Diceros bicornis minor: one gene and its partners. The protein of the gene in region 3 purifies or fractionates together with the protein of the main gene of each other region. This does not show direct contact. Links are inferred from orthologs where the notes say so. Each region holds a gene or a part of one and is shown on either strand. Other genes may lie near its edges.

Region 1 (7,580 bases), on a different chromosome or scaffold from region 3:
AAAGTATCTTCTTGAGGGCTGTCCCTGTGGCATAGTGGTTAAGTCAGCCATGCTCCACTTTGGCGGTCTGGGTTCGTGGGTTCGGATCCCAGGCACAGACCTACACCACTCATCAAGCCATGCCGTGGTGTGACGACCAACATACAAAATAGAGGGATATGGGCACAGATGTTAGCTCAGGGCTAATTTTCCTCTCACACACACAAAAAAATACAGAAATGTTCAAAGCCTCTTCCCCATTCCAACTCCTTCTGATAGACATCTAACAGTTTAATGTTACGAGGCTGGCCCAGTGGCGTAGTGGTTAAGTTCGCATGCTCTGCTTTGGCAGCCCGGGGTTCGCTGGTTCGAGTCTCAGGTGTGGACCGACACACTGCTTGTCAAGCCATGCTGTGGCAGGTGTCCCACATATAAAAGAGAGGAAGATGGGCACAGATGCTAGCCCAGGGCCAATCCTCATCACCCCCCCAAAAAAAAATACATCCTAACATGTATATCATGTATAATATTCTGGATCTTGCTTTTAACTCCACACCAGCACTATGGATTGCTATGTGCCCAGCACACACAATTTATCTCTTGTTTCGTCCATATTACTGCCTAGTATTCCATCCATCTTAGATGCCTCTCTCCTCTCGCCAGAGAGTAACTATTTTCTGTGCTCCCTCAGTCATTGCAAACATTTCCATTGTTGAACCTACTGCACTTGAAGCCAGGTACCTGAGGGTTACTGTAAATATTCCATAAGAACATGTTCCCAACATGTTCCGACCTCGTTCCCAATACAGCCACAGATGAAAAGAAGTTAATAAATAACCTTAGTCTCCACTAGATGTATTTATGGAGTCCAAATGCTTGCTCCATGGCATGCACGTAATTATAGCTTGCTAACTTGCTGTTTTCTTGTCTAACCAAAGGGGTGACTCAAGGGTCATGAGAATTTATGAGCTTATTTTGCAGAAGTAAAAGAATGCCTTTAAGGAATTCACGACCACCAGATGACCAGACCCCAGCTGCCGGTGACACCAAGAAGTCTGGTTGCTCAAGGTCTTATCTGAAGTGAAAGAAACACAGACTTCCTCTTTGTTTCCCTGAAAATCCTCCTTGCCAGCCCCTTAGCCCTGTAAAGATCCCCTGTTTTCTTCTTTTGTTAAGGCAGATCTGAGAGAACTTGCTTTCCTGCCTTCTTGTTTTGGCCAATTCCAATAAGCCTGTCTCTATCTCCAAGGACTGGTGTCTCAGTGATTGGCTTTTCCTGTGCACTGGGCACAGGGACCTGAGATTAAGAGGTTTGGTGTCACACTCAATCTTAAATTATTTATTTTCATGTCTAATTCCTTTACCAGGGAGTGAAATCTTCAGAAGCAAAAATTTGAGTCTAGAGCAATCTTTTTACTTCTTTAATTTTAGTTTTTATTTTAATCAGAGTTATACACGTCTATGATTTAGAGTCAAACAATTCTGTAGAAACCTTGTAAGTTTTGCAATGAAACAGCAGAGACTGTATCTCCACTCTTCCCCTTACCTGTTTCCCCCTCCTCAAAGGCAGTCATTTCACCTCTTTCAATGGTTATTTTGATATTTACCTTCATTTCTCTATATAAAATGTTTGTATTGCTATTTCTTCATTTTTCACTTTTAGGCATTGCCTATTGACTTCACCTAATGGAAAATGAGGATTTAGCTCTTCTTCCTTCTCCCATCTGTTCCCCCACCCCCACCACACTTCCCATCCCTTTATCTGCCCGATATAGTTATATTGTACTTTTTTAAAAAATAGATTTGTGTTTACTTCATTATGACTAGGTAAACATTGCTCACATCTTGGGCAAAATAGTATACTATGATTACTTCTCTTCTGCTCAGCTTTTTGTTTTTCCTGTAGTTAATGATTATCTTATTTTGGCTTACTATTCATCACTAAGCCAAGCTCAAACTTCTTTATGATCATTTAAATCTCTCCCTCCAGAGATTTAGATAGATAGGTGTTCTATCAGTTTCATCTTTCTGAAGGAGTCTCTTCTGGAACCTTCTAACCTACACCAGTTGATGTCTAGTGCACAGTTGTTGTCAGGGTATCATACTTCATTTTTCTCCCGTGTTGTATCTTCTGTTTCCTATAGCCTGTGTTTTCTACTTTCTTTGTTTAGTCCCTCATTTTAATGGAGCACAACTTCCAGTAGCTTCCTGAGAAAGAAGCAAATGAAAGGGAAATTTTTTGAAATCTTGAATGTCTGAACATACATTTATTCTTTACCCACACTTCATTGGTAGTTTACTAATCAAGTACAGAATTCTAGTTTGAAATAAATTTCCTTTTGAAATTGTATAGAATTGCTCCCATGTCTTTCAGCTTTCTTTGTGACTGCTGAAAAACTGAAAGATATGCTGATTCTTGATCCTTTGTTAGTGATCTGTTTTTCTCTCTGGAAGCTTCAGGTTTCTTTTTGTCCCCAGTGTTCTGTAATTTCACAATGATGAGCCTTTGGGGTGAGTCGACTTTTTTTTTTTTTTTTTTTTTTTTTGTGAGGAGATCAGCCCTGAGCTAACATCCGCCAATCCTCCTCTTTTTTTGCTGAGGAAGACGGCCCTGGGCTAACATCTGTGCCCATCCTCCTCCACTTTACATGGGACGCCGCCACAGCATGGCTTACCAAGCAGTGCGTCGGTGCGCGCCCGGGATCCGAACCAGCGAACCCCGGGCCGCCGCAGCGGAGCGCGCGCACTCAACCGCTTGCGCCACCGGGCCGGCCCCTGGGGTGAGTCGACTTTTATCCATTGTGCTGCAGACTCAGTGGGCCCTCTCAGTCTGGAAACTTAGGGCTTTTAGTTTAGGGAAATTTCCTTGAATTGTTTTGTTGATGCTCACTCCTTCCCTAACCCCTGTTGTTTTTTTCTTATGGAATTCTTATTTTTCAGATTTTGGACTCCCTGGAGTGGTCCTCTAATTTATTATTGTTCTTTTCCTGTTTTCCATTTTTTTGTCCTTTTGATTTTTTTCCCTAGGATATTTCCCAACATTTATCTTCGAACATTTTCATTGAATTTTTCATTTCGGATATCATATATTTTGTCTCTGAACACTCCTTTTTAAATACAGTAGTAGTATCCTGGGGCTGGCCTGGTGGCATAGTAGTTAAGTTGGTGTGCTCCACTTTGGAGGTCCAGGGTTCACAGGTTTGGATCCTGGGTGTGGACCTACATGCCACTCGTCAAGCCATTCTGTGGCAGGGTCCCAAATACAAAATAGAGGAAGATTAGCACAGACGTTAGCTCAGGGTCAATCTTCCTCACAAATAAATAAATAAATTACAGTAGTATCCTCTTATTATTTTATGGTTGCAATGGTATTTCATATCTCAGGATATTGATTTTATATATATATAGTCAATCTACAAAAACAGAAACCAGTTTAAGAGGCAAAGCATTTATTTGGGATCAAAGAATTGCAATTTGGGAGCACAGATTCAGGTAGAAACTCAAACAGTGTCCTGATTATAGAAGAGGGCTTAGGGTTTTTATGGGAAAAAGGGAGGAAAGGTGAGTTGTATTAAAGAAGAGTTCATTGGTGCTAGATAAGATAAGGCTGGGTTTGTACTTCATAGATTGGCCTGAGGTTCAATCATCAGACAAAACGCTAAACTTGTACTTCATTGATTGGTTAGCGATTTAGGCACCAGCAAAGTCCAGTTCCACCAGTTCTTACAGACAAGGTATCCTTGTCCTTACAGACTTCTTTGGAATGTTGGTGGTTTGGTCCAGTTCTGAAGATAAAAGAAAACAAGCCATGCAAGGCAATTCCTCTGAAATGGCTGCTCTGGCTCTGTTTTAATATGGCTCCACTCATGTCATCTTGCACAATGCACACACAAGTTTTCTCCCCACTGAACGGTTTCTGTTTCTTCTAAGGGTTGCCCCCACCCCCGCTACTTGATTTAGTCTCTATGGTATCTCCTTTCGCGTTTGTTTTTGAAGTTGTCAAATCCCTGGGTGCTCTACCTACCCCTTGCTGGCTGCCAGGTAACTCTATTCCTTCTCCCTGGCAAAGAACAGGTGTTTTGGGGTCTCTGCACTGTGCAAAGTGCCTCTTAGATGCCGAGTCCTTTTCCTCGATTCAGCTCCCAGAACGGTTACAACCAGATCTGGACCCTCCACGCAGGCAATTGGAGGGTCATCTCTAGTTGAATCTGATAAGCCTTAAAAGAATGATCCAAAGATAACGACATTGGAAATTCCCCAAGTAAACAGCCCGACCAAATTACATTAAAGCTGATCAACAAGCCCCCTCACACTCTCAGAACGTCTGGGATATCATCTAAAATACAAATGAAATGATTCATATTGAATTTCTGGTGTGGAAGGACAGATACCTTCAAGCTCCATCATTAAGGGCCCCAACGAGGAGAAGTATGTTTCACCGAGGTTGAGAAGGATCGCCCCCCTCTTCCGGAGCGGCCGACGTCCCCCGGCCGGCAGGGGGAGCCACCGCGCACGGCCAGCGGCGGCGCGGGCAGGGCCTTTCTGGGAGGAGAGGAAGAAACGAGAGAGACGGCGAGAGGAAGTCGCGGTGGCACTCAGCTCCGCAGTCTCCGAGGCGGAGCTGGTGCTGGTCGCTGGCGGGAGCTGGACCACGCAGCCACGCTGGCTGCGCATGGAGCCGAGGACTCTCGCAGAGGCGGGATGCTCCCGCCCGGCGAGATCGGCGAGGCGTCGGCAACCCCGGTGAGGCGGCGCTGGTGGCCCGGGGAGGGGACACTGGTGGCCCAGTGAGGTGGCACATCTCCTAGGGGAGACTCTCTTGGTGAGGTGACCCTGGCACCTGGGGACGTGGTTCCCGTGGCCCGGGGGAGGTGGCCCTTGCAATCCTGGTGAGGTGGCACAGACCTCCCAGGGGAGGTAGTCCCTATGCAGTGGCTCCGGCGACCCCGGTGAGATGACACAGATCTCTGTGGGGAGGTGGCCCTGGCGGACGGGCAGGATGGCAGTGGTGGCCCCAGAGAGGTGGCCCGTTTTAGAACCTGCGTCAGACGGCCGTGGCCCTTCACGAAGGCCCCAGGGGAAGGGGCCTGGGACCTCGCAGTCCTCCAGTGGATGCCCTCTGGGAGCCCTGTATGAGTTCCATCTACCACTTCAGTCTTAATGTGTTTGTCACGCCTCTTCTGCTTCTAGTGCTGCTCTGAAAGTGGTGAGGAAAGGAAAAACGTCGAGGAGAAAAGTAAGCGACCCCAAACACCTTAGTGCTTTGTACCCAGCCATCTCGCCAAAACTCAGCCTTCCAGGGTCTGCATCCGAGAAGAGTCTTAGCCTGTTATCTTTTAGATGAAGTATCTTTTTTCTCTACAATATGCTTGCATTTACTGATTATCATTATACACATATTTTTGTCTTTCTAAAATGATAAACTATGGGATGATTTGGAGAAGAGCACTTCCTGACTCCTGCCCTGTGCAAGAACTAGTGTGGTTTTACTGGAGTTCTGCCTGTCAGACTGGCTTCAAAACAATTGGAGCCTGCCGGTTATTTTAATGAAGCAACAATTTATTAAGCATCAGGATTTGGAGGGGCTAATGATCTAGGAGAGATGACTGCCTCCTTAATTGGGTTCAAAGAAGTCAAATGATAGTTGTTTAGTTGTACTTTACCTTCAGTGAATTTGCAATTAAAGGTTGATCTGGCAAAATCGTCCCATTTGCAACAACATGGATGGGCCTGGAGCATATTATGTTAAGTGAAATAAGCCAGAAAGAGAAAGACAAACACTGTATGATCTCACTCATATGTGAAATATAAACCAACACATGGACAGAGAAAACTGGACTGTGGTTACCAGGGGCAGTGGGGGTCGGGGGTGGGGGGTGGGCACAAGGGGTGAAGGGAGTCATGTATATGGTGATGGACAAACAAAAATGTACAACCCAAAATTTCACAATGTTAGAAACCATTAAAACATCAATAAAAAAAAAAATATATATATATATTAAAAAAAAAAAAAGTTGATCTGGGAAGAGCACAGAGGATAGCTTGGATCCTGGGTCTTGGACTGGACAAGGCAGAGGGGAAAGGTCAGTACCTCCAATTCCTGCCTAGGACAGGAGCGTATGTCAGAGATGTGGACATTTGTCATTTTACTTTAATAAGCTAGGCATGGCAGGCTTTTGGAAATCAAGGAATCTTCAGGGGCTTTTGAAGTGAAATTTATTGGGGGAGGAAGGGGAAAAGCATGTAACAGCTATGCCATCAGAGGGTTATGGGATCTGCTGAACGTGACAAATAGTCTGGGAATGAGTAGTGGTAAGAGAAGGGTGTCTACATTACCATATTGGATTTAGGAGTTGGGCTTGCCCCTCACGTTGTCTACTGATACCATCGGCCTCAGAGAGAAAGCTCTGAGTAGTCCACAGTACTTGACAGTCGTAGCTGCCACAGTTCAGCTCCTTTTCCTTGGAGGATTTGAGAGTACCCCATATCTTTCAGTGAAACCCCTCCCTTTTCCACCTTTACCTTGTTCAGATGCTCAGAGAGTTGATGCCTACTGAGCTGTCATTTTAGTAAAATCATAGATGCAGACTGTAGACTTTGTCCTTGTCCTTCCTTTAGTGGCTTGTTCAACTTCTTTGCAACTAGGAGTGCTCTTTACAAATAATAGAGAAAAAGAGAGACATAAAAACATCCTAAAACACCAGTGTGTCATTTTGAAGAATGTCATTTGATAAGGGTTATATCAAAAGAGTATAATTAAAAATAAAAGTGAACATAGAATTTACTCCCTAAGCTACAGCAACCTTAGCATTCACAAAACATTCCTTCTGCACATAGCCCTGTTTCTGTGTATCTGCAGGTGCACCACACAACTCATTTTATTTAAGATAAATAAATAAAGACATTGTGACTCCGGTGCATAATAGTAGATGGATTTCTGTATCAATGAAGTTTGATGCAGACCAGCCAATTCTGCTCATATTTGAAGGAGAAGAAAATAAGAATATTGGGTTGAGAGTCAGGGAAACATGGATTTTAGTCCCATTTACAACCTTTAAATGTAGGCTGGGCAAATGTTATAGTTTATAGTTGGGAAGTTGAGGCATAGACTTATGCTAGTTTTGCTTCTACCTACTGGTGGGCTACTAGTTCTTATATGAACAAGCTTTTAATTCTTATAAGTTGACTAGAACAAAGGAAAATTTGTTGTTTAGGGGTTGAGGAAGAGGAACATACCCAGTATTAAACACACTGGTATATATTCTATTAATTTTTACGTAAAGAATTGAACAATATTTGATAGTTACATTTTGCATTTAGGCATATCTCTATTTAGATAGTCATATTTTCATTTTAGCATAAGTGACAGTTGTTTTAAACAGTTTTATTTATTTATTTATTTTTTTGTGAGGAAGATCAGCCCTGAGCTAACATCTGTGCTAATCCTCTTCTTTTTGCTGAGGAAGACCAGCTCAGAGCTAACATCTATTGCCAATCCTCCTCTTTTTTTTTTCCCCAAAGCCCCAGTAGATAGTTGTATGTCATAGTTGCACATCCTTCTAGTTGCTGTATGTGGGACGCGGCCTCAGCATGGCCGGAGA
Region 2 (7,827 bases), on a different chromosome or scaffold from region 3:
GAGGCTTCATCCTCTTTAGGCTAATAGTCTCTCCCCTTCTTTTAATTCCACTCCTCCCACAGCAGGGAGGCTCAGGGAGGGAACAAGTTAGATCCAGGTAGCTCTTAAATCTCAGCCTCAGTTTGGGGGTTTGGTTACATTTGTTAGATAAGGCCAAGACGTAGAGAATCACTGGGAAAATACCTTCAGATCTCCGACCTGTTGGGTCCCCTTCAGCCGGGGAGTCTCTCTGCATTCCGGATTCCGTCCCTGGTCTTGCAGTGACTTGTACATTGTTAGGTTTTTTGTACGTGTCGACTTGTAAATCTTATTAAATTGGGTTCTTGAGCAGCTGTCTTCTGGCTTCCCTGGCCCGTTGATCCAGCAGAGGCTTTTGAGCGCCTGCCGCTCGCTGGAACCACAGAGAGTAGGCCGAGTCCTGCCCTGAAGGAGCTGGGGGCCATTCGTTCATTCAGCAAGTGCCTGCTGTTGGACGTGCTGGACGGTGCCCAATCCACGTGACCGGGACACAGTGACGACAGAGAGACAAAGCCCCTGTCCTCACGGAGCTTGCATTTTGGGGCTGGGAAGGTAGCAGTAATAAATACAGCGAGAAGGTGATTTTAGACACTGATCGTGGCTATGCTTTTGGCCACCAGTAACAGAAGAGTCAGCGCAGGTTTAAGCAATCAGGACGTCTGGTGGGCAGCGGCTCAGCCAGGAAATCAAGGCCTCCCAGCAGCGGCCAGCCTCAGTGTGTTGGCTGCGGCAGCAGCAAGAATCCCTCCTCCCTCACCAGCATCCGAACCTTGGGAGTGCAGGGAGGAGAGCACGTCCCTCCCTTCCTTGTGCCCCTCTTTAAGAATGAGGAAAGCCTGTAGCAGCCGCCAGCAGAAGGCCCCTCAGGTCTTACCAGCCAGAACCGTAAGCCATGCTGTTTCTAAACTGATCCCCAGCAGTGAGGAGGGAGATGGCCACAGCTACCCTAGACATTCAAGATTTGCCTCCACAGGGCTGGCCCAGTGGCATAGTGGTTAAGTTCGCACGCTCCGCTTCGGCAGCCTGGGGTTCACAGGTTCGGATCCCAGGCGCAGACCTATGCACCGCTCATCAAGCCATGCTGTGGCGGTGCCCCGTATACAAAGTAGAGGAAGATGGGCACAGATGTTAGCTCAGGGACCATCCTCCTCAAGCAAAAAGAGGAGGATTGGCAACGGATGTTAGCTCAGGACCAATCTTCCCCACCAAAAAAATAAATAAAAATAAAAAGAGGAACCCTGATGAAATAAAAATATTAAAAAAAAAGATTTGTCTTCAGGACTAGGAAAAAGCCATGTGCTCCCTCAAGTTTGATGCCACCTGGTCAAAACTGTCATTCCGTTTGCCAGGAAGAGAAGAGGAGGCAGGAATGGCTCCTGGGGAGGCAGACCTTGTGACTGCCACAACGTGATGTGAAGAAAGTAAAGCAGGGCGCCGAGTCCCAGGGAGTGAGCAGAGAGTGGCAGCTGGTGTTAGGTGGACGGCCAGGGAAGGAGATCTGGGTTCCAGGCCACGGCACGGCACAGTGCCAGCTCTGCCGAGGGGACTAGCAGAGGGTGTTAGAGAACTGGCTGGCTGCTGTGTGGAGGTTGTAGGAGGCAAGATTACTGGCCTGGAGGGTAGATAGAAGGCTTTAAGGTAAGGTGCTGGTGGCCTGGGGTAGCAATGAAGAGGGACGGAAATGCGAGGATGAGAGATGCATCTTAGAAGCAGACTCGGACTTGTTGACGGGTCACACGTCACGGGGAGAGGTGGTAAGGAAAAGGACGGGTCAAGGTTGGCCTGGTAGATTTGGGTCTGAGCCGCTGAGTAGATGCCATCACCTCAGGTGGGGAAGAGAGACAGTCAGAGGATTGGTTGCACCCAGGTGTGACCGCGTCTGTAATAGTGCATGCTGTGTTCTGACAGACTGGCGGGGGAGCGGGGAGAGGGTAGTGTCAGGAGCTTTCACAGAGGGGCCACACTTAGCTCAGTAAATCTTGAAGATCGGGAGGGGGGAGGGGCAGGGGAGGAAGCAGAGTTTGAAGCAGTTGGGGCATTGCGGTTAAGAGAAAGGGCTCAGGCATCAGATGAACCAGAATTTACATTCTGGTGCCTCTTCCTTCTTTGTGACCTTGGGCAAGTCACTTTCCCTGTTTGAGCTTCAGTTTTCTCCTTCTGTAAAATGGGGTGGAAAATGCTCACCCCCCACGTATCTGTGGAATGAGAAAACGTAAATTACGTGTTTGGCAGGGTGCACCATATGAATGTAGCAGCTACTGTGTGATGAGCGCTCATGCTATCGCTGTTATTGTTTAGGTCCCACCCTGCATAACAGGTTAAGCTTGATGACTCTGGAAAGGAAAGACTCTGGCTTAAAGGGTTCAGCGGTATATTAGTTTATTGCCGCATAACAAATTACCCTGAAATTTAACAGCTTAAAACAAACAGAAGCTTTTATAATAGTGCTGCTTAGAGGGACACGGAACTGAAACTGCTTGTGGTGATCCAGACTCACCCCCAACCTGATCTGTGGTCGGAATACAGTGGCAACCACAAGTGGGTGGTCCAGGAGAGTCTCTGAATGTAAGAAGAGAGTTGGGGGAAGGTTTCTTGTGAATTACCCCCCCTCAGCCCGCCCCCGCTCCCATCCCCAGATACAGCGTTTTCTCAACTGGTGTTCCCGGAATTATCTGCATCCTAGTCATCTGGGGGTCCTGTTAAAAAAAGCTCATATACCATACCCAGTCCCTGACACGGACTATTATAATCAGAATCATTGAGGGTAGGGCCCTAGAACTGGAAGTTTTTTAAAGAAGCTTTCTTAGAATAGTTTTCAGATTTACAGAAAAATTGGGAAGATGATAGAATTCCCATATACCCTGCACCCAGTTTCCCCTACTATTAACATCTTACATTAGTATGGTACATTTGTTACAACTAATGAACCAATATTGATACATTATTATTAACTAAAGTCCATGTTTTATTAACATTTCCTTAGTTTTTACCTAATGCCCCTCTTCTGTTCCAGGATCCCACCTAGGACACCATATTACATTTGGTAGTGATGTCTCCTTAGGCTCCTCTTGGCTGTGACAGTTCCTCAGACTTTACCTGTTTTGGATGACTTTTAAGGAGTCCTGGTCAGATATCTTGAAGAATGTGTCTCGTGTGGGATTTGTCTGATATTTTTCCCATGATTAAGCTGGGAGGAAGACCGCAGAGGTGAAGTGCCCTTTTCACCACATGTTGTTGAGGGTTCACACTATCAACGTGACTCACCACGCTGACATTATCCTCAGTCAAGGGCTGACAGTGTTCATCAGGTTTCTTCACCGTAAACTTGGTCCCCACCCCCCTCCCTTCCCATACTGTACTGGGTGGAAGGAAATCACTGTGCACAGGCCACACTTAGCACACATGAAGAGCTATGCTCCACCTTTTTTGTGTGTGTGTGAGGAAGATCAGCCCTGAGCTAACATCCATGCCAATCCTCCTCTTTTTCTTGAGGAAGACCTGCCCTGAGCAACATCTATTGCCAATCCTCCTCCTTTTTCTCCCCAAGGCCCCAGTAGATAGTTGTACGTCATAGTTGCACATCCTTCTAGTTGCTGTATGTGGGACGCGGCCTCAGCATGGCTGGAGAAGCGGTGCGTAGGTGCGCACCCGGGATCCGAACCCCGGGCTGCCAGTAGCAGAGCACGCGCACTTAACCGCTAAGCCACGGGGCGGGGCAGGCCCAGCTCCACCTTCTTGAAGGTGTATTTACATAAACTATTTGGAATTCTTCTGCACAGAATATTTGTGTATTCTCTCTCATTTATTTATTCATTTATATCAGCATGGGCTCATGGGTATTTTATACACTGGGTTATAATCCAATACTACTTTATTTTGTTGGTCAAATTGTTCCAGCTTTGGCCATTGGGAGCTCTTTCAGTTGGCTCCTGTGTCTCTCTGACATACCTCGTCGTGTGTGTGTGAGAGTGAGAGAGCGCTCACACGCGACGCTTTCTTTCTGGCGCTACAAGATGCTCCAGGCTCATCTTGTGTAATTTCCTGCCCAGTCCTAGAACCAGCCATTTATCCAAGGAGCCCTGGTTCCTTTTATTGGAGAAGGGTATTAAAAACTAAGATGTGGGCACTAGGCATGCTCAAACCTGAATTTTTAACAGGCTCTCTCCAGCTATTTTTTCATGAAACCACAGTTGGAGAACCTCCGCTCTCCGTTTTGTTCCCGTCTCTCAAGTATTTCACTGGCTTTCCCAAGCCAGTTTCAGCCTCCGCCGGCAGAGGGCGCCAGAAAAGGCAGAACGGTTTCCTTCCTACCACAGAGGCCTTCCCAAGAGAAGAAGGACGCGCGACCAGGAGCCGGGGCGGGGACTAAACGCTGCGCCAGAGAACTGTCAAACCCAGGCGGGGCGTGTTTCCCGGCAGGGGCCGGGCACTGTCACGTGAGGGCCAGCGGTCAGCTGACTAGATCCCAAGTTCTCCGCAGAGGTACGACGCGACCCAGGGCTGCTGTTGATTGGTGGAGGAGGATCCAGAAAACTAGCACTTCGGGGCGGGACCTTGACGATGGGGACTACCATTGGCTTATGCAGAGCCACGTGGGCAGTCGTACGCTGCACCGGGAAGAGAGTGGGGCGCCCTATGCGGACGTGTGCGCATGCGTCAAAGCCCGGGGTCGCCGATTGGAGGCCGTGAGTCACGGGGCGGCGTGCAGTGGCCGGTGGGGGCGGGGCCGGCGGGGCGCGCGCCGAGCTGCGAGGCCGCTGGTTGGCCAGCGCGAGCCACGTGGTCCGGGGCAGCTGGGGGTGCGCGGCGGTGCGACGTCAACGCAGCCCTGTGAGCTCCCCCGACCCGTCTCTGCGACCCGGCGACGGCGGAGTCCTCGGAGGGCCGTGCCCGGGCGGGTTGCTGAGCACTCCTGCGGCCGCCATGGACAACTCCGGGAAGGAGGCGGAGGCGATGGCGCTGCTGGCCGAGGCGGAGCGCAAAGTGAAGAACTCGCAGTCCTTCTTCTCGGGCCTCTTCGGGTGAGAGCCGCGCGGAGGGGCGGCCGGGAGCGAGGCTGAGAGGACGAAGGAGTCGTGGCCTAGAGGCGGCCGGGTCGGGACGAGGGCATGCCGGGGCCTGGTGACAGGGTCTAAGGCCGCGGAGGGGACGCAGGCTGAGGGCCGGGCTGTGGCGACACGGTGTGAGGAGAGACGGTCTGGGATGGCGGAAGGGCCTTGGGCTGAGGATACCCGGGCCGAGGCGACACCATCTTGGGACGGAAAGGGGACCCAGGCTGAAGACGGGCCAAGGGGCCAGAGGACTGTGAGGCCTGGGCGGGGACCCGGCCTGAGGGCTTGAGGGAGCCTAGGGGAGCAGCCGGGTCGCCTTTGGAGCTCTGGAGAGCCTGTCTGAAGGGTCCCAGACGGCCGTGGTGGGGCCGGGGACTGGGGACACCTGCCCCAGGGATCGGCCTTCCCAAGGCCTGGGGCGGGGGGTTTGGGTGAACTCGGGGTGGTTGGGTGAGGGGATCCTGGGGGGTGGGAGGTGCCCGGGACGAGTGGGGCCCTGGGTGGTGGTGATGGTGTAAGAGGACCTGACAGTCGTGTGAGAGCTGAGCAGAAGAATGAATCCCCCGGGGTGACGGAGTTACTACCGAGGAGGCCCGGGCTACGGGGCTGGAGACTGATGTGGAGTAGGGGGATGAGTGAAGCCGGCTTGGTTTAGGAAATGGAGAGAGAAAGAGGAGAGATGAGGGAGAGGGAAAGCCAAAGGAGTGGAAAGCTTTTTGTGTAAGGATGGAGTAGGGATGGGGCGTGTGCGCGGGATGACTGGTGTGCTGAGAGGGGGGCCTGAGCGGGGCTGGGAGACAGAACGAGCGCCTGCAGTCTGGTAGACATTTCCCATCAGACTCACATTAGCCTGTAAACTAGTTCTGATGACCGTCCTCCGAGGAATTTTAGTGGCTTAGGAGTGTCAGAAGCCTGGGTTTGAAGTGTGGCTCTGTCACTGACTTCATGCCCTTGGGTAAGTTGTTTGATTTCCCTGTTAAAGGGGATCACTAGTAAAACCTATGTCAGGTATTTGCTGCTAGTATTGAGTAAGAGTGCACATAAAGCGCTTAGAACTGAGCCTGGCACATGGTTAACGCCCTGAGAGTCTTAGCTGTCATCAGCGTCGCTTCCAGGAAGGCAGCGGGTGTGGAGCCTGTACGCTTCTGGTGGGGATCAGGGTGGGAGCCCAGGGGGATGTCTGAGAGGGGTCAGAGGAGGGAGAGACTGAGTGGGAGGAGGAAGGGGGAGCTGACAGGTTGTGGGAAAGGGACTCTGGGCCATGGGGACTTAGCAGAGTTGGGGGAAGGGGCTTGAGGCTCGGGGCGGAGGGAGAAGAGGGGAAGAAGGGAGGACTGGAGGGGGTTGTGTTGCTTTGGGGCTGGGAGGAGAACTGGAGAGGGAGTGGTGGGTCTGTAGAGAGTTAGGAAGAACTGTGGTGGAGGTGGGCAGGGAGTCTGGCGACAGAGAGAGGCAGAGACTGGGGAAGGCTGCGGCCTGGGAGAATCTGCCAGAAGGCTAGGGAAGGGGTCTGGGAGGAGGGCCTGAGGATACGGAGAGACAGTGTTAGGAGATTGGTGAGAAATGAAGAAGGTTCTTTCCAGGAGAGGAGACGGAGCAGCCTGTTATTTGATGTTGGATGATGTTTAGCAAAAGAACTTGAATAACAAGGCTGAGAGTTATCTGGTCTGGAGAGGCATCCGGGGCTCATGGATTGTATTGATTAGGTGGGGAGTGTTTTATTTTAGAGGCTGAGAGTGGAGAGAGGGTATGTGTGTGTTTCCTCTTCCCTCACAAGGGGAGAAGTTCAAGTGCAGTGTTTTGGGGTGGGGCCGAGAGCTCAGTTTTCCGTGATAGTTTCCCTGGGTGGTTTTTGGTGTCGGGTCCCTTTGGACTGGGAATTAGTGTCCTGTTGGTCAGTGGCTGGAGGGAGCAGCTAAGTCAGCCCGCGAGACACATGCCATCTGGTTGGGAAGGCAAGAGTAACACTTGCCAAACGCTAGTAAAGCAAAATTGTAAGGTAACTAAGGCTTAGATTATATCATGTGTGTGAAGTTCCTGAGTTGAGAGGAAGCGGCCTGAACTGGAGGAAGGCTCTTAGGAGCGAGCTGGGCCCCGAGGAACCCTAAAACTAGCAAGTCCTAGTCCTGTGGAGTGGGGGCCTGGGAGAGAGTGCTCGGCAGCGGGAATTGTGCGAACAGAGGTGTAGCGTGAGGGGAGGTTCTACCCGGAATGATGGGGAACCGAGATCCAGATGGACCAGGGATGGCTCCCCAGAGGAGAGGCCTCCATCTGGGAGCATGAACAGGGGTTCTGGGGGTGCCCTCTGGTGGGGAGCGCTTCTCTGGGCAGAAGGGCCAGCTTGAGCAAGGCCCAGATGCATGAAGCTCAGTGTGTGCACGCTTCACACGGGGAGTTCCGTGTCAGCACGTAGTTAGAACAGGCAGAAGGAGGAGGTGACGCTGAACAGGGATGAGGCCCAGTCTCGAGAAAGGGCTTGCACGTGAGGAGGTGGTAGAGAGCATTGAGGATATTAATGGGGATCTGTCTTAGTCTGTTCAGGCAGCTATAACAAAATACCGTAGACTGGGTGGCTTATAAACAACAGAAGTTTATTTGTCACAGTTTTGGAGGCTGGGACGTGCAAGGTCATGCTGCCGGGTAGATTTGGTGTCTGGTGAGAGCCCACTTCCTCATAGATAGCTGGCTTTTCACTGTGTCCTTGCTTTGTGGAAGAGGTGAACTAGCTCTCTGGGGTCTCTTTTCGTAAAGGCATAAA
Region 3 (7,713 bases):
GGCTTGTTGAGGTAGGGACTCAAGCTCAGAGGTGGAGTGAGCTGCCTGAGGTCACACAATGAGTGAGAGGGGCCGAGACGGGAGCCACAGCCGTGTCCTTGGCCCTGCCTGGTCTCTAGATGGGTCTCTGCTCAGCCACTGCTCCCCAGTCTCCAGCTAGCGCCTCCCTGGATGCAGGGGCCCCTACACCCACTATCCCTGGGAGGGTAACTGAGTTGCCTTCTCCACAGGTGTGTGGAGATGCTGATCAAGGAGCAGATGAGGAAGTACAAGGTGAAGATGGAGGAGATCAACCAGCTGGAGGCAGCAGAGAGCATGGCGATCCGGAGACTCTCACTCCTGCGACAGAACACTGTGAGCATGTGGGCGGGACTCGGGGGTTGGGCGCGGTCTCCACCCCTCAGACTCCCCACACCCTTGGCCACAGGCAGCCTGGCCAGGGGCCTCAAGGCAGCAGGGTTAGAGGCCCATTCCCAGCCTCAGGCAAACGCCCCTCTCAGAGGGCAGCGGGCGACCTGTCACTCTCTTGGCAGTGGTTCGGGTCATTCTTCAGCTCCATCCCTTGCTGACCTGGGCCCCCGCCCACAAGGAAACGTTCCCACAGCAGAAGTGGCTCCACACTAGGGAGTGGGGGGTGGGGGAGCGGGTGGGGGCGGGTCCTGGGCTACTGTGGGAGGACCCTTATCTTTGTCCCTGCGGTCAGATGTGGCCCGGTGTCCTTGACGCACACCTTTGTCAGGGTCAGTGGCCCCCAGTGGTCACCCTCTGTTCATCTCTCCCCCAGCCATGGCCTCTCAAACTGGGGTTTTCGTCTCCCTATGAGGCGATGCTGGTATGTACACGCTTAGCAGCCGCCCTGCATGTCTCCCCCAGCGGTGCATGCTGGGGTTCCCCTTGGCCCAGGGCCCTTGTAGGATAGACCTAGTGTGTCCTGACCTTTCCGAAGTGCATGCTGGGGGAGGCCTGTGCCTGCTGACCACCTGTGTGAGAAGGACGACTAACCAGCAGAGCGCCGGCCACCCCCTCCCCGCGTGACCCTGGAGAAGCCTCACTAAGCCCACTGTCCACGTCAGAACTAATCTCCCAGGCCGCTCACACCGCCCTCTCTGCCAGCCCAGGGGGCCGGCCAGACCTGCTGCTTCTCTGTTGCAGAACAAGAGCCCCAAGGCCCGGGTGAGTAGCAGCGGCGGCCTGGAGGAGCTGGACGTGCTGCCAGAGGAGGAGGTGGCCGGTGGCGACGAGGACCGCGAGAAGGAGATGCTCATGGAGCGGATCCAGTCCATCAAGGAAGAGAAGCAAGTGTTCCTCCATCCCCTTCCAGCGCCCTCCACCACAGGGAGCCTGGCCCTTAGAGGCTGCCAGGCTAGGCTCCTCGCATCGTCCAGGACCCACTTCAACGGGTGCCGCTGTCCTGAAACCCCATGCTTGACCACAGGGAACCACGGTGACCCACACCGTGGGAGAGCTGAGGCGACAGAGGGGTGATGCCCAGACTTTGTCCAGAAGTTGGCCTTAGTTAGGGTGACTAATTTGTTGTCCAGTCAAGATGTGAAGGGGGGTGTTATTAAAAATGCTGCCAAGAGAATAGGAGTGACCCAGGCCGCCCCGTCACCCTAGTCTTAGGAACAGGGGAGGGCAATGCAGGTGGAGGGAAACACGTGCAAAGGTCCTGAGGCAGAAGCTCCTCACCAGCTCAGTCCTGGCCCAGGTGCCTGGCTTCCCTCAGCAGCCGGACACCTTCTTCCCGTCAGCTTCACAGGGCCGGGGTGATTTGGGCCAGGTGTGCTTTGGGGGTGGAAGTGGGGTGCTGGGGGCAGGGAGTACCATCCAGGACCAGGACGGCCTGCTCTGTACCCTACCAGCCTGGCACTTTCCGTGGGGTGGTCTTTCGCCATGGGAACAGCCTCGGACACTGTGACCTCCTCCCCAGGGAGGACATCACCTACCGGCTGCCGGAGCTGGACCCGCGGGGCTCCGATGAGGAGAACCTGGACTCGGAGACGTCGGCCAGCACCGAGAGCCTGTTGGAGGAGCGGGCTGGGCGGGGGGCCTCGGAAGGTCAGTATTAAGGTAGCGTCTGCTTTTTTCCTTCCCGTGTCCACCACCGCCGGCCCCGGGGCGAGGGACCATGTGGCGGCCCTGAAGCTGCAGTAACCCTGCCATCTGTCTCTCAAAAGGGCCCCCTGCGCCTGCTCTCCCCTGCCCCAGTGTACCCACCCCGAGCCCCCTCCCCACGGCGGCCGCCCCTCCGCGACGAAGGCCGTCGTCCTTCATGACGGTCAGAGTGAAGACGCCCCGGCGGACCCCCATCATGCCCACGGCGAACATCAAGCTCCCACCTGGCCTGCCCTCCCACCTTCCCAGCCGGGCGCCGGGGCCCCAGGAGGCTGCTGCCCCGGTGAGACGCCGAGAGCCACCCGCCCGCCGCCCGGACCAGGTACACTCTGTGTATATCACGCCCTGCGCTCACCTGCCCGCGAGGGGTGCTCAGGAGCCCGTGGACAAGGACGACCGGCCACCTGGGGCCAAGCGAAGGTACTCGGACCCTCCCACCTACTGCCTGCCCCCCACCTCGGGCCAGGCCAACGGCTGAGGGCCCACAGCCGTCTGTCCACATGTCCGAGGACAGCCCAGAGCCAGCATTCAGCTCGCCGAGAAGGATCCGGAATGAAAAGCTGCAAGAGCGATGTGGGGGGGAGCAACGGCTCCCAGTGCAGGGTCGAGGCCGGGAGAGGCCAGCTGAGGCTGGGCCGCCCTCGCTGAGCCTCCACGCTGCGCAATCGCGCCCACCCAGAGCACGGAATCACGGCGGGCCACCTAGCATCTCCCACCTCCCATTTTGTAATTTTTTACAGTAACTGTTTTTTTGTGCGTGGTTTACATAACTTTAAACTGTAACAGCCTTAACGGAAGACCAAATTGTTTTTTATATGTGTCTGTACGACCTTTTATATTAACGCGCTGCATCTCCTTTATAACCTGGACATCAGTCTTCAAAGCTAAGCCCACGCAGCCGCCACGCTTCAGAGGCTCAGCCCTGCGCTGGGAGCGCTCTGGGCGGTCCAGGGCCAGGACCCTGCACGAGGGGTTTAGACACTCGGGCCGCATGACCGCCTTTCTCTCTCTTGGACTCGTCCTCTGGCCGGGGTGCATTTGAGGGAGCGCCAGAGCCCTCCGTGGGGATCAAGGCTGTTGGCTGAGCCAGGACACAAAGCGGGGGGGAGCAGCCTCCACCCGGGGCACCACAGACCTCACGTCCCAGGGAGGCTCCAATGTGGCCGTCATCCTCTGCCCATCCTGGACTCCAGAGGCTGGAGGAGGGCACCCTTGGCACTGCCCCCACCCCCCCCACCTCCACCGTGTGGCAGAACAGGAGCCAGCGACTCAGGACCGCTCACCGGCGGGGAGGGCAAGGCCTGTGTTGTCCCCCTCAGGTCAACAGTGGCAGCCTGGGGATCTCCAGAGGGATGCCCTCAGGTTTGGCCCACTCCCCAGGACACATGTATCCCCTGGACACATGACCACAGGTCTGGGACAAGAGGCACCCAGAGCCGTGTGAAATAAAGACAAAGCGCCTGAGAGATTTGTGTGTGGCTCCTGCTCAAAACACTCCTGGTTGGAGGAGTGGGGCTTCGGTGGGGGCACCCTGCAGCCTCTGCCAAGAGGGGTGCAGGGCAGGGGGTTGTGCCCCTTGTCTGGAAGAACCTGCCTTGATCCTCAGCAAATGCTGCTGTTGGGATCTCCCACGTGCTCCTCACCTGGGCAGGTGGGCTTGTGGAGGTGCTTGACCTGGACATCTGGGGAGAGGGCAGCTCCTGCAGAGTGGCATTCAGTGAGGGGAGCCTGCTGTCCTGGGGGCTGCCTCCTGTCGCCCTGTTTCAGCACCAGCCTCTCCTCAGCTGGGGCGTAAGCGTCAGGTGCAGGGCCATGGGCCAGGGGGGGAGTCTGTTCCTGGTGGGCCGGCAGAGCCAGAGGCCCCCACACATCAGCCGCAGATGAGCTCCCAGGCTGCGATCAGATGGGCAGGTGGGGGACGTGGCTCGCGGGTGGGGCCTGTGAGGGTGGGGTCAGGGGACCGTGAAGAACTTGAGTCCAGACGGCACATGCCAGAGGGTTGGGGGCTTGTCCAAGACCACACAGGTGCGGTGGGGTGGGGCTGGGGTTCAGACCCTGCCCATCTGCCTCTGGAGCCCCCTTTATCCATCCTGGGTTTGGCCTCCTCCGTGGTACTTTGCGAGGACATTAGGCACACCAGTGTGACCAGGACACCGGTGACCTGAGGGCTGCATGCCAGGCTCCGATCCCGTGAAGCCTCCATCCTCACCGCGTCCACTCCAGGAGCGGGGCTCGTGGGACTGGCCTCGGCTTCCTGGGCACCTGGGTGGGCTGGAACTGGCTTCTCTTCACGGGGGTCTGAACGTTAGGGGTGACCCGGCCCCGCCTCCTGCTCGCAGGGCTAGTTCGTGTGCCCCTTGAGACAGGCACTGTCCCACTCCCCATTCCCCAAGGGAGGAAACAGGCCCAGAAACAGCGGGGGACGGAGTCTGGCGCCCGGAAGCTCACAACCGCAGAAGATTGGATGGGCCCCTAAGCCAGCCCAGGGCCTCTCCCCCGGAAGAAGTCGGGGAAGGCTGGCCGGATGCGCAAAACCTCAGTGTGGGAAGAATCCAGGCAGCAGTGGATGTGGGGGAGGCACTTTGAGCAGGGGGAAAGGAATGAGCAAAGGACACGTTGTACGTGGGCCTGAAACCGCAGGACCTGGTCCTTTCAACCATTCCTGAGGGTTAAGATGCTCTGGAGGAAAAGCAGGCGATTCAGCCCTGAGTAACTATGGACGAGGATGGCGCCTCTCCTTGAAATAAAATATTATTGCCACCCCAAAGAAAGATGGAACGGCGAGCGAGCTGAGCTCATCCAACCGGAAGGAAGCCAAATGAAGGCACTTCCGCCATCTCTTAAGATGGCGCCGGCGGAAGGGGCGAGGTAGCACCGTGGGGGTGATGGCAGCGTCGAGGCTGGAGCTCAACTTGGTGCGGCTGCTGTGCCGCTGCGAGGCGATGGCAGCGGAGAAGAGGGACCCGGACGAGTGGCGTCTGGAGAAGGTGGGAGAAGCCCGCGGGGCAGCGTAGAGCCTGACTCCGGGACAGTGGGCCCGGAGCTGGCGGCCACCGGTTCCGACTCCCCTGCCCCAACAGCCACCCTGGCCACGCCCCTTCCGGTCGGCGCCGCTACGTCCACCTGCAGCTCCCGTCTCTGGGGTTCCGCTGGCCGCGCCTCCTTGACGCTTGGCCCCTCCCACTTCCGAGCCCCGCCCCTTGCTGGCTCTGGCCCCTTTGAGCAGGATGGGAAGAAGTGGGGGTGTGGGACCGGGCTGACGCTGCGCTGTCTCTCCCCAGTACGTGGGAGCCCTCGAGGACATGCTGCAGGCCTTGAAAGCCCAGGCGAGGTGAGTGCCGGCGGCCACTGGGGTTTCAAATCCGGGGTCGGGGTAGAGCCCTGGGCTCCGGTTCCTGCTGGACCCTTCCCTGAACTGGGACCGTGGGCAGGTTTTCTTTGTCCTCTTCTCGCCTTCTAGCAAACCGGTCTCCGAGGTGATCAATGAGTATGCCCGCAAGGTGGATTTTCTGAAGGGGATGCTGCAGGCAGAGAAGCTGGTGAGCGGGGACGGCCGCCTCCTCAGCCCTCCTCACCCCCAGGACCTGCCCCTCTGGTGACCCCTCATCCCTCTTCTTCAGACCTCCTCCTCCGACAAGGCACTAGCCAACCAGTTCCTGGCTCCTGGCCGCGTGCCCACCACAGCCCGGGAGCGGATACCTGCCACGAAGACAGTGCATCTGCAGTCACGGGCCCGGTACACCAGCGAGATGCGGGATGAGCTGCTGGGTGCGGTAGGACACTCTCCTGGTCCCTGAGGGCCCTTTGGTCAGCGACAGGAGTTCAGGGCCTGGGGCTGGCCAGAACAACAAATACTGTCAGGTGCAGGGACCCTAAGGAGCCCAATAGCCTCCGCCCTGGGCCATCAGGGCTTGATAAATGAACAGGAGTCGGGTACAAGGCAAAAATGACGTGTCCGGTTACGACGAGTGTTTTCATCTGTAAAACAGGATAAGTGTCTTTCTGAGCACTTTACGTGGATCAGGTAAACCCTTCACAACAGGAGCTGTTGGACCAGCCCGGTGGCTTAGCGGTTAAGTGCTCGCGCTCTGCTACTGGCAGCCCGGGTTCGGATCCCGGGCGCACACCAACGTACCGCTTCTCCTGCCATGCTGAGGCCGCGTCCCACATACAGCAACTAGGAGGATGTGCAACTATGACATACAACTATCTACTGGGGCTTTGGGGGACAAAATAAATAAATAAATAAAATTATACAACAGGAGCTGTTGTTACCGATTTATAGACTAAAAAACAGGCTCAGAGGTCATGAGACTTCCCCAGGGCTCTGACTATGGGTGGGGAGTGTCTGAGAGCAGAAAGGACAGGTTTAGGGGCATGACAAAGTGGGTGACTTCACGCTCTCCCTTTTTGCCACAGGACTCTTCTGGAGGTGAGTCGGCCTGAGCAGAACAGGACTTGAGGCCCAGCTGCCTGGGACCAGACATGTGTCCTTGCTGCCCCCATCCCTGGTGCCTGGCCTCACTCCCACAGCCCAGGCAGAGTGTCCCTGGGGGTGTTACTGAGTTATGCCTAGAGGGGGGGCTAGGACAGAGGAGGTGGCCCCCAGAGGAAGCAAAGCTGGAAACTCCCAGCCCACGGGCCAAAGTTAGGCTGCAGGGAGGGACCTGGGGCCGGGGGAGCCCAGCTGGGGGTGAGGAGAACCCCCTAGAAGAGAGCGCGTTTGAGCTCGAGCTTTGAGGCATGGTCAGGAGCCCAGCAGGCAGCAGACAGGACTGGAAAGGGCATTGTGAGTGGCAGGCCTGTGACGGGCAGTGGCCAGGAGGCTGGTCAACAGGAAACCAACCCGCTCTCGTTTCTGCCGGGCCTGTTTCCCTGCAGAGCCCGAGCTGGACGTGCGGAAGAGAAGGTGAGTGTCCTCTGCCCTTGGGCAGCACTGGGGGCCGGGGGGCTGGACGAGCCTTGGGCCCCTGAGGCGCCACCATGAGCATCTAAACCGCCCATCAGAAGCCACTTCTGGGGGTGCTGTTCCCAGAAGCCAGAGCAAAGAAGGGGTAACTGAGCCCCAAGCAGGGCAGTGGCCGGAGCTATAGCCTCTGGGCTCCCTGGGAACGTGTTGGTCTCTTCCCCTCCCCCACCCCACCTCGTGCCCACCTGCCCACCCATGTGTGGGGTCAGTGGGGTGGCAGGGCCCAGGCCAGGAAATGAAAAGCAGTCGGCGGCCGAGTTAGACCTCATCCTGCAGCGACACCAGGACCTCCAGGAGAAGCTGGCAGAGGAGATGCTAGGCCTGGCCCGGAGCCTCAAGACCAACACACTGGCCGCCCAGAGTGTCATCAAGAAGGACAACCAGGTGTGAGGAGTGTGGGAGCTTTGCAGCCTCTGTCCTGGGGCATCAGAGAAGGTTTCCCAGCAGAGGGGCATTGTGGCTGGGGCTTGGCTGGCTGGAGTTTGGTAGAAAGCAAGAATGGCATTCTCAGCAGAGGAAACAGCACCAACAAGGGCCGAGAGGTGCAGACTTGCTGCAGGGTGGTAGGGAGAGGCCACACTTGGCCCCAGTCCTGTTGATGCTCTCCCCACCTCACCTGCAGACCCTGT
Region 4 (7,504 bases), on a different chromosome or scaffold from region 3:
TTCCATCTGCCAAGATCCTTTCTCCAAATAATATAACATTCAAGGGTTCTAAGAATCAGCATGTGGACCTATCTTTTGAGGGGCAACATTTAGCTCCCCTGGGTGGGAGAAGATAGAAAGAAGCATGAAATAGGCCAGTAGGTCAGGATGAGGGGCTCAGAACCCAAGCCAAGAATCAAGTAAGAATGAAGAATGTGGTGACTCCTCTTCTATGTACTTGGGTGGCAGTGGAGGGACAAAGGCGGCACCTGGAAGGATGGGGCCTCGACAACCTTCTGTGTTTGCCTCTTGCCTTTCCCCGCTTCTTCTGCACATCCGTTTCAAAACTAAGCTCCTAGGAGAAATCCACTCTGATTTTTTAAATATTTATTTTATTGTGGTAAGAATACAACACGAGATCTACTCTCTTAACACATTTTTAAGCGTACAATACAGTATTTTATCTATAGGCATGATGTTGGGCAGCAGATCTCTAGAACTTATTCACCTTGTATAACTGAAACTTTACACCTGCTAATCAGCAACTCCCCATTTCTCCCTCCCCCCAGCCCCTGGCAACCACTATTCTAGTCTCTCCTATGAGTTTGACTATTTTAGAAACTTCATATAGGTGGAATCCTGCAGTATATGTCCTTCTGTGAATGGCTTCTTTCACTTAGCGTAATGTCCTCAAGGTTCATCCATCTCGTTGCATAGTGGATTTCCTTTTTTAAAGGCTGAATAATATTCCATTGTACGTATATACCACATTTTTTTGATCCGTTCATCCATCAGTGGACATTGAGGTTGCTTCCATGTCTGGGCTATTGTGAATAATGCTGCTATGACGGTGGAAGTGCGGCTATCTCTTTGAGATCCTGATTTCAACTCTTTTGGATAAATACCCAGAAGTGGGGTTGCTGGATCATATGGTAGTTCTATTTTTAATTTTCTGAGGAATTTCCATACTGTTTTCCATAGTGACTGCACCATTCTGCATTCCCAACAACAGTTTACAAGGGTTCCAATTTCTCCATCACCCTGATTTCTTTAGCTAGTTTCCTTCTTAGGAGCAAAAGTTGATTCTTTGAGCTTCCTGTCCCTAGAGTCACGGTCCTTTTTAGAGCCCCTGAGAAAAAAAATTTTTTTGATGAATTTCTTTCAGGCCACTTCCTACAGTGAAAGTACATGTTCTCCAAGTCCTCCCCTCTTGCACCGTGAATTCTGCCATGGCATGGCCAGGCTTGCAGGGTTTCTATTATTCTAACACTCCCAACCAGGTCTTTTCTATTGGTTAGATCTAGGTGTAATCTAACTGTTCCTTCCTCTCCATCCTTTACCTACTGAGAGATGACACTGTAGTGATGGTAAGTGAAGAATGCACCCAAAAGTCTTGTTTTGGCAGATATCTGGATATGCGTTGTATCAATCAGGATATGCTAATTACGTTGCAGTAACAAACAACCACAAGTCTCCATGGACCACAAGAGCAAAGGTTCATCTCTCACTGCCAGCACACGTCCTTAGTTGGCTGTGCTCCACGTCATCTTTACTCAGGGACCCAGGCTGGTAGCACATTGGAACATTATGGGTTGCTATGGCAGAGGGAAAAGAGAGCATGGTGAACCACATGTTAGCTCTTAAATTTGCTGCCCCGAACCAACACACATTACTTTTCTCAGCTAAAAGGAATCACCTAGCCAAGTTAGTCATCTATAGGTCAACGAACTATAATCCTCCCCCAAGGAGGGGCCATGAGTACCAGTGAACGATAAAACAGACTATCACAGAGGGTCTCTAGTTACTGTATTATTGTGGCAAATCTATGATTCCATGGACCCAGAAAACTGTGGTCTCCCCATTCTGCCCTGCAAGAATTCACATTTCCAGGCACTGGACACCCTCCATGCAGCAAATACCTGCTTACGCCAACTTTCGCCAGTTGGTACGGCTATAAAACCAACCCCTCTAAAGGATGCCACAATGACAAAGTCTGACGACAGCAGAAGTCTATTTCTCACAGCACATGTCTGTCATGGGTTGGTCATCTGGATGTGCAGCATACCCTCTTTTTGATGGAGGCTGCATTTAATGACTTCTGTGAGAGTCCCCAAATAATTCTGAGCTGCCTACATTTATCTTGATTGTATGGAAGGTGCGGTTATAGGGAGCTATATTCAGGAATTCCAACATGCATTACTGTTTTTCAAGAGAAGAGCGCCTGGCCTAATGAATGAAACATTATTACCAATGAAACATAATTTCTGTACTACATCAAACTTGGTAGTTTGTAGTATACTCCCGTGACACTTCTGTTCTTGCTTTTCATCCACATCCCCTCTCAGCTTTATGGGATTTCAAATAGTTACTAGTCCAGTGTCAACTTGTTGCTTTGCTCTTTGAGGTTAAAAGAGAGAGAGAAAAACAGTGAAATCTCATACCCCACGATCTATGGGAAGTCCAATGGCCTCCTCAAGATCTTTGTGACTCTTCTAGGACTTTTATGTACGTGCGGTCACTTGTGCCTTTACAGCTTGATGTTTTGAGTTTACTTGGGTCTCATCTCCACAATCTTCTCTGCTTTTACAGATCCAGACAGAAAACTTACACTTTTTTCCCCAACCTTTTACACAAAAAAACTAACCGCACCAAACGCACTACCCACACAAGGCATTACTCACTGAAGGTTTGGTGTAGCTCAGCCACCCCCTCAAAACTCTTCCCAAAGAACTACTCTCTCCTTTCTTGAACCCCCTCCCTGGGCTCTGGTTTCCCCCTCCTCCCCCTAATTCAATCCTGTTCACTTTATTATGCAGAGCAATTTAACTCTCTTTCCTTCAACTCTGCCCCAGGCTTACCTATGCATAGCTAAAGACCCATTAATGTCTCCATAAAACAAAGGACCATTTATGCGAGACAGAATCCTGGGCAGAGATTTTCTAATTTCTTTTTCGTTTTCTCCCTCTTACTCTGTAGGCAGAAGAAAGCTGTATGGAAATTTATTTTCCTCATACAGGAAGGCTGAAGTGGCTACAGCTGGGTTTTAAATAACATTTTTCTCTCTTCTTTTCAGGTACATGTGTACTTTCTTGACATCTATTTCTGATAAACTTATTTCTTGAACACAGTGGGTCTCAAATTTTGGTCTCAGAACTCCTTTATACTCAAAAGTTATTAAGGGCCCTAAACAACTTCGGTTTATATGGTTTTATGTATCAATATTTACCATATTACAAATTAAAACAAAAATTTAAAATACTCATTCCTTTAAAAACAAAAATAAATCCATTACATAGTAACATAAATGGTATCTTTCTGTGAAAAAATACATTTCCAAAACAAAACAATTTAGTGAGAGCTGCATTGTTTTACGTTTTTGCAAATCTCTTTAAAGTCTGGCTTAATAGAAGACAGCCATTCTGCATTCAGTGTTTTGCAATGTGACAAGGCACACAGCCTCTGGGACACTCAACTGTACACAACTCCTGAGAGAGAGAGTGAAAAGGCAAGTAACATTTTAGGATTATGAAGAGTTTCTATCTTGCCGACCACGCTTTGACAACCACTGTTTTAATACATATTCCAGCGGTGCACCCACTATCAAAAAAACAAACGATGAAATCAATGAGATCTTGAATTAAATCTGAACCTTGAACCAAAACGTACAAAGGACTCACTGGCTACCCTGCAGTCAACTTAAATAACTACCACTTAAGATGGTATATTTAAAAACTATACATCAAGGATGAACAGAAATTCCGCCATTGTCTCCATCTGATAAATTCCTGGTCAGCCTTCAAATCTGCCTTCTCTAGAGTGAGTCTTCTCTATGGAACCCTTCCCCACCATAATTACGAGGACAACAATGTTATTAACAACAGGTATCTAACTTTTATTGGTCACCAGGAGCCAAGCAAAGCCAAAACACTTCACGCGTGTTATCTCATTTAACTCTCAATAATTCTCAGGAAGGTACCGGCTTCGGGGGGCTGAAAGGTGAAAATGAAAGGCCTCCGGTCTCCAGCTCTGTGCCATGCACACCTGCTTGTCCTAGCACGCATTGCATCTAGATGTCACGGTCCACGAACTCCGTCCCGCACAAGGTGCGTCCTTGAGGTCAAAGGTCATGCTGAGTCGCCTCCGGCCACCCGCGGCCGGCTCGCTCCGTGCGGGAGTCTCGAGAAGGGGTCAGCTTCCTGGTCCTCTCGCTCCCGCGGCCCACACGCCCTACACCGGCCCGCGGGGGCGGGGGGTTCGTGGACCTGCCCGCGCGGCCAAGCCCGCAGAGGTGGGGGGTTGGGGGAGAAGGGGCGCGGCTGTGCGCGCCGCGAGGTCCGGGCGCCGCGGGGGTCCGCCACGCGCGTGCGCTGAGGCCGGAACCTTTCTGCTCTGGCCGCGGTAGCCCGGCGGAGGCCGGAACCTTTCTTCTCGCGTCGCGGTTGGCGTGCGGAGGCGTGCGGAGCCGGAACGGTCCGCCGGGGGCCGGGCTCGCGCCGCGGTCGCCGGCTGCTGACGTAGGCCGGCCGGGTCGGGGCCCGTGAGTGCGGGTCGTCATGGCGGTGGACATCACTCTGCTGTTCCGGGCCAGCGTCAAGACCGTGAAGACGCGAAACAAAGCGCTGGGAGTGGCGGTGGGCGGCGGGGCTGACGGCAGCCGCGACGAGCTGTTCCGCCGGAGCCCGCGGCCCAAGGGCGACTTCTCCAGCCGGGCGCGCGAAGTGGTGAGCGGGTTGCTATGGAGACGGCGGGCCGGAGCGGGGGGCGGCCGGACCCCGTCCCGTGCGCGTTGTGTGAAGGCCGCCTGGACTGAAGCGGGGCCCGGAGAGCTGGTCCGGGGGGCCGACAGCTGTCCCGGAAAGGGCGCAGCCTTGTCTCGGGGACTGGGGACGCGCGGTGGGGAGCGCGGAAGTGTGTGGGCAGAGCTCACGCGCTGCTGCGGAGCTGCTGAGCTCGCCGTCGCTGCAGACCTGAACGCCAGCGAAACGCCCCCGCGTTCCTCTGCTTTCCTGTCGCGGCCCTGACCGCGGCGTACTTGCCTCTCCTGTTTACTGGTCTCGGCCCTCTCCCCTTCCCCCGCGTGGAGATCACATGTTGTGTCCAGCTGACCTCTCCCGTCCCCTCGCCTCCTGCAGCAGGTTAGGGCTCATGTTGGGGATCAGTGCGTCTTGAGACTGGTTAAGGATAATCTTTCACAAACACTCCATGTTAGCGTCATCTAAACTACTTCTGTGCCTTGAACACAGCAGGCTTTCGTTCAGGGGAGCAGGAACCTTTTCCTTAAGGGCAGAAACAGTGTTGGCTTCACGTCAGAAGCCCCAGTGCCCGACTCCGACTCATGGCGTTGCTTAGTAAATGTTTGTTGAATGAATGAATGAACAAATGGTTGTCTGTCTTCCCCACTAAACGGGAAACTCTGTAAAGGGAGAGAGAAAATGTTTGCCTCGTTCACTTTTGTATCCTTGGCACCAAGGGTGGATCTAGTTTTTGTGGAGCTTGAAGCTTATGCAGTTCTGCCTGTCCTCTTTAAGAAATGAAAATACAGAATCACAAAGGTTTAGAGCTTTGGGAGGTGTAAACCCTGAAGCTTAAACTTCATTAATTTCGTGGTAAATCCCCTTAAGTTTGGCACACAGTCCAGAGCCTGATACTTTGTAGACACTGAGATATTTTTTAATGAGTGTATGTATGCGTGAATTAACAAGTGGCAGTTTGCAGAGGATATTCAAGCATCAGAAGGGGGACTGGGCCAGATGAATACATTCAGTCCATCAATAAGCATCTGTTAAGCAAGCACCTATTTTTTGACCAGCACTGTGTTAGAATAACATGATTTAAAGGGAATGGTGGGGGAGACCGAGTAACAAAACAAGCACCATACAGCCTTGTAGATGCTGTGTAGGCACAGAGGAGAATGTGGCCAATTCTGCTGGAGGGCCGAGAGAGGCGATAATGTCTGAAACAAATCTCTAAAGAGGAGTAGTTGGTTCCAGTGCAGACAGGGTGGAGAAGGGCGCCTCGGGCTAAGAGAAGAGTATGCACACAAAGATGTGGAAATAGGTCATTTTCATGCTCAATTTAGCTGAATTTATATATACTCAATGTGTGTCTACCCATTAAAGTACCAACAAATTAGACAGTAATGACATTGCAGATTTTTTTGGAGGAACTTGTTATGTGAGCTACTCCAAATGAGGATGAATGTGCCGCTTCGCAGTGTTAATGAATTGGTTGGATAAGCATTTGAGTGTGGCTGATTTGGGGGACACTCAGGAAAACTGGACTGGAGTGGTAGGCAGGGGAAATCTTGAAGGGCCTTGTTTATCACAGTGTGGAGTTTGGACTTTGCCCTGGAGGCAGTCAGATGTTATGTGGTAGAGAGAGCGCTAGAGAAGGGGTGAAGACACCAGGTTGTTGTCTTAACCCTGCGATGATTAGCCATGATCTTATGAAGCAGGTTTTATGGCCTTAGTTTATTTACCCGGCAATAGTCTCCTCCTTTTTTTCCCCCTTAAAAAGCAGAAGACTTTTAAAAAAAACTGCTATGATCTCCGATATATAGCAGATCAAGGTTCTCAGGTTGAAATGAGAGGGAGGGAAACTGGGACTTCTCTGTGCGCCTCCCTCGAGTCTGGCCCAGGCTGTTCCTGAGGTTCCTCCTTTGGAATTGTGGTATGAAGATCACAGTTTTGGTTTTTGGAGGGCCTTTTCTAACCCTGAAATCACTGATTTATTAACACTGTGCTAATTTTGGGTCCTGCTCAGGGATAGGGGCTCTGGGAGTGGCCGAGACGAGAAGCATCGTTGGATTGGCCAGCAGTGAGGAGAGAGCCCTGTGATCACTTAGGCCCCAGGCCTCTCCCTGAGTAGTGAGATGGTACTTTAGGCCTTTGGGTTAATAGGCCTCAGGGACAGTAACAGGACCCTGGGGTGCTGAGTTCCCTGTCACTGGAGGTAATTAAACAGCGGGATGACTGCTCGTCAGAGATGTTTGAGAATAACTCTGTGCTTTTGTCAGAGGGTTAGATGCATGTCACTGAAAGTTCCAGTTCTGGTATTTATTGATGTGGGTAGGTGTTAAGGCTTGGGGAGTCTATTAAGTAGGGACATGGGCTGTGTTGTTCAGGGCCACTGCCCTTCCTGACATAGGGAACACATGCCTTCTTTTGAGGAATTTTGATTTTATGTTGCAATTGCTTTATGTAGTACCTCCTGTTCTTGCAACCATTTCTCTCTCTCATGGAAAGTGTAACTAGTATAGAGCTAGTGAGGGGTGTCCTTTGCTCTTAACCACAGTCAGATGTGTCAGAAGTCTGGCTGTTGTTTTGTTTGGCCTGAATTCCTTATACATAAAAGTCTGGTCATACTAGGAACACATATTCTGGTTCAAGTTGAGCCCTGGTTGTCAGACTTAAGGAAATGTAGCAAGTTATAGTAATGCCTTTTCTTGAATGCCTTCCTTGAAGCATTTATTATCATTTCTAAGATACGTATTACCTAGTTCAATTCCAGTTCTTCTCATTCCTCA

The links.
Region 1: the proteins of USE1 (region 3) and RINT1 purify together in Homo sapiens (co-immunoprecipitation; 3 studies listed by BioGRID and IntAct, counting the BioPlex papers as one, with this or other methods). This does not show direct contact. The link is inferred for Diceros bicornis minor from reciprocal best matches to the Homo sapiens genes USE1 and RINT1.
Region 2: the proteins of USE1 (region 3) and NAPA purify together in Homo sapiens (affinity purification with mass spectrometry; 3 studies listed by BioGRID and IntAct, counting the BioPlex papers as one, with this or other methods). This does not show direct contact. The link is inferred for Diceros bicornis minor from reciprocal best matches to the Homo sapiens genes USE1 and NAPA.
Region 4: the proteins of USE1 (region 3) and STX18 purify together in Homo sapiens (co-immunoprecipitation; 4 studies listed by BioGRID and IntAct, counting the BioPlex papers as one, with this or other methods). This does not show direct contact. The link is inferred for Diceros bicornis minor from reciprocal best matches to the Homo sapiens genes USE1 and STX18.

Annotation. Positions count from the first base shown.
Region 1 is NC_080742.1:12,722,141-12,729,720, reverse strand, and holds the start of RINT1 (RAD50-interacting protein 1), read left to right. Parts: upstream 1-4,570; 5' UTR 4,571-4,680; coding exon 4,681-4,722; intron 4,723-5,169; coding exon 5,170-5,215; intron 5,216-7,580. UniProt on the Homo sapiens protein: Involved in regulation of membrane traffic between the Golgi and the endoplasmic reticulum (ER); the function is proposed to depend on its association in the NRZ complex which is believed to play a role in SNARE assembly at the ER.
Region 2 is NC_080773.1:22,906,877-22,914,703, reverse strand, and holds the start of NAPA (alpha-soluble NSF attachment protein), read left to right. Parts: upstream 1-4,812; 5' UTR 4,813-4,941; coding exon 4,942-5,039; intron 5,040-7,827. UniProt on the Homo sapiens protein: Required for vesicular transport between the endoplasmic reticulum and the Golgi apparatus. Together with GNA12 promotes CDH5 localization to plasma membrane.
Region 3 is NC_080759.1:5,216,119-5,223,831, forward strand, and holds the start of USE1 (vesicle transport protein USE1), read left to right. Parts: upstream 1-4,707; 5' UTR 4,708-5,000; coding exon 5,001-5,102; intron 5,103-5,396; coding exon 5,397-5,446; intron 5,447-5,575; coding exon 5,576-5,654; intron 5,655-5,735; coding exon 5,736-5,888; intron 5,889-6,534; coding exon 6,535-6,547; intron 6,548-6,996; coding exon 6,997-7,024; intron 7,025-7,293; coding exon 7,294-7,468; intron 7,469-7,706; coding exon 7,707-7,713. Other genes in the region: MYO9B (unconventional myosin-IXb), read left to right, coding at 231-354, 785-832, 1,153-1,299, 1,935-2,058, 2,178-2,593.
Region 4 is NC_080747.1:6,965,645-6,973,148, forward strand, and holds the start of STX18 (syntaxin-18), read left to right. Parts: upstream 1-4,489; 5' UTR 4,490-4,532; coding exon 4,533-4,700; intron 4,701-7,504. UniProt on the Homo sapiens protein: Syntaxin that may be involved in targeting and fusion of Golgi-derived retrograde transport vesicles with the ER.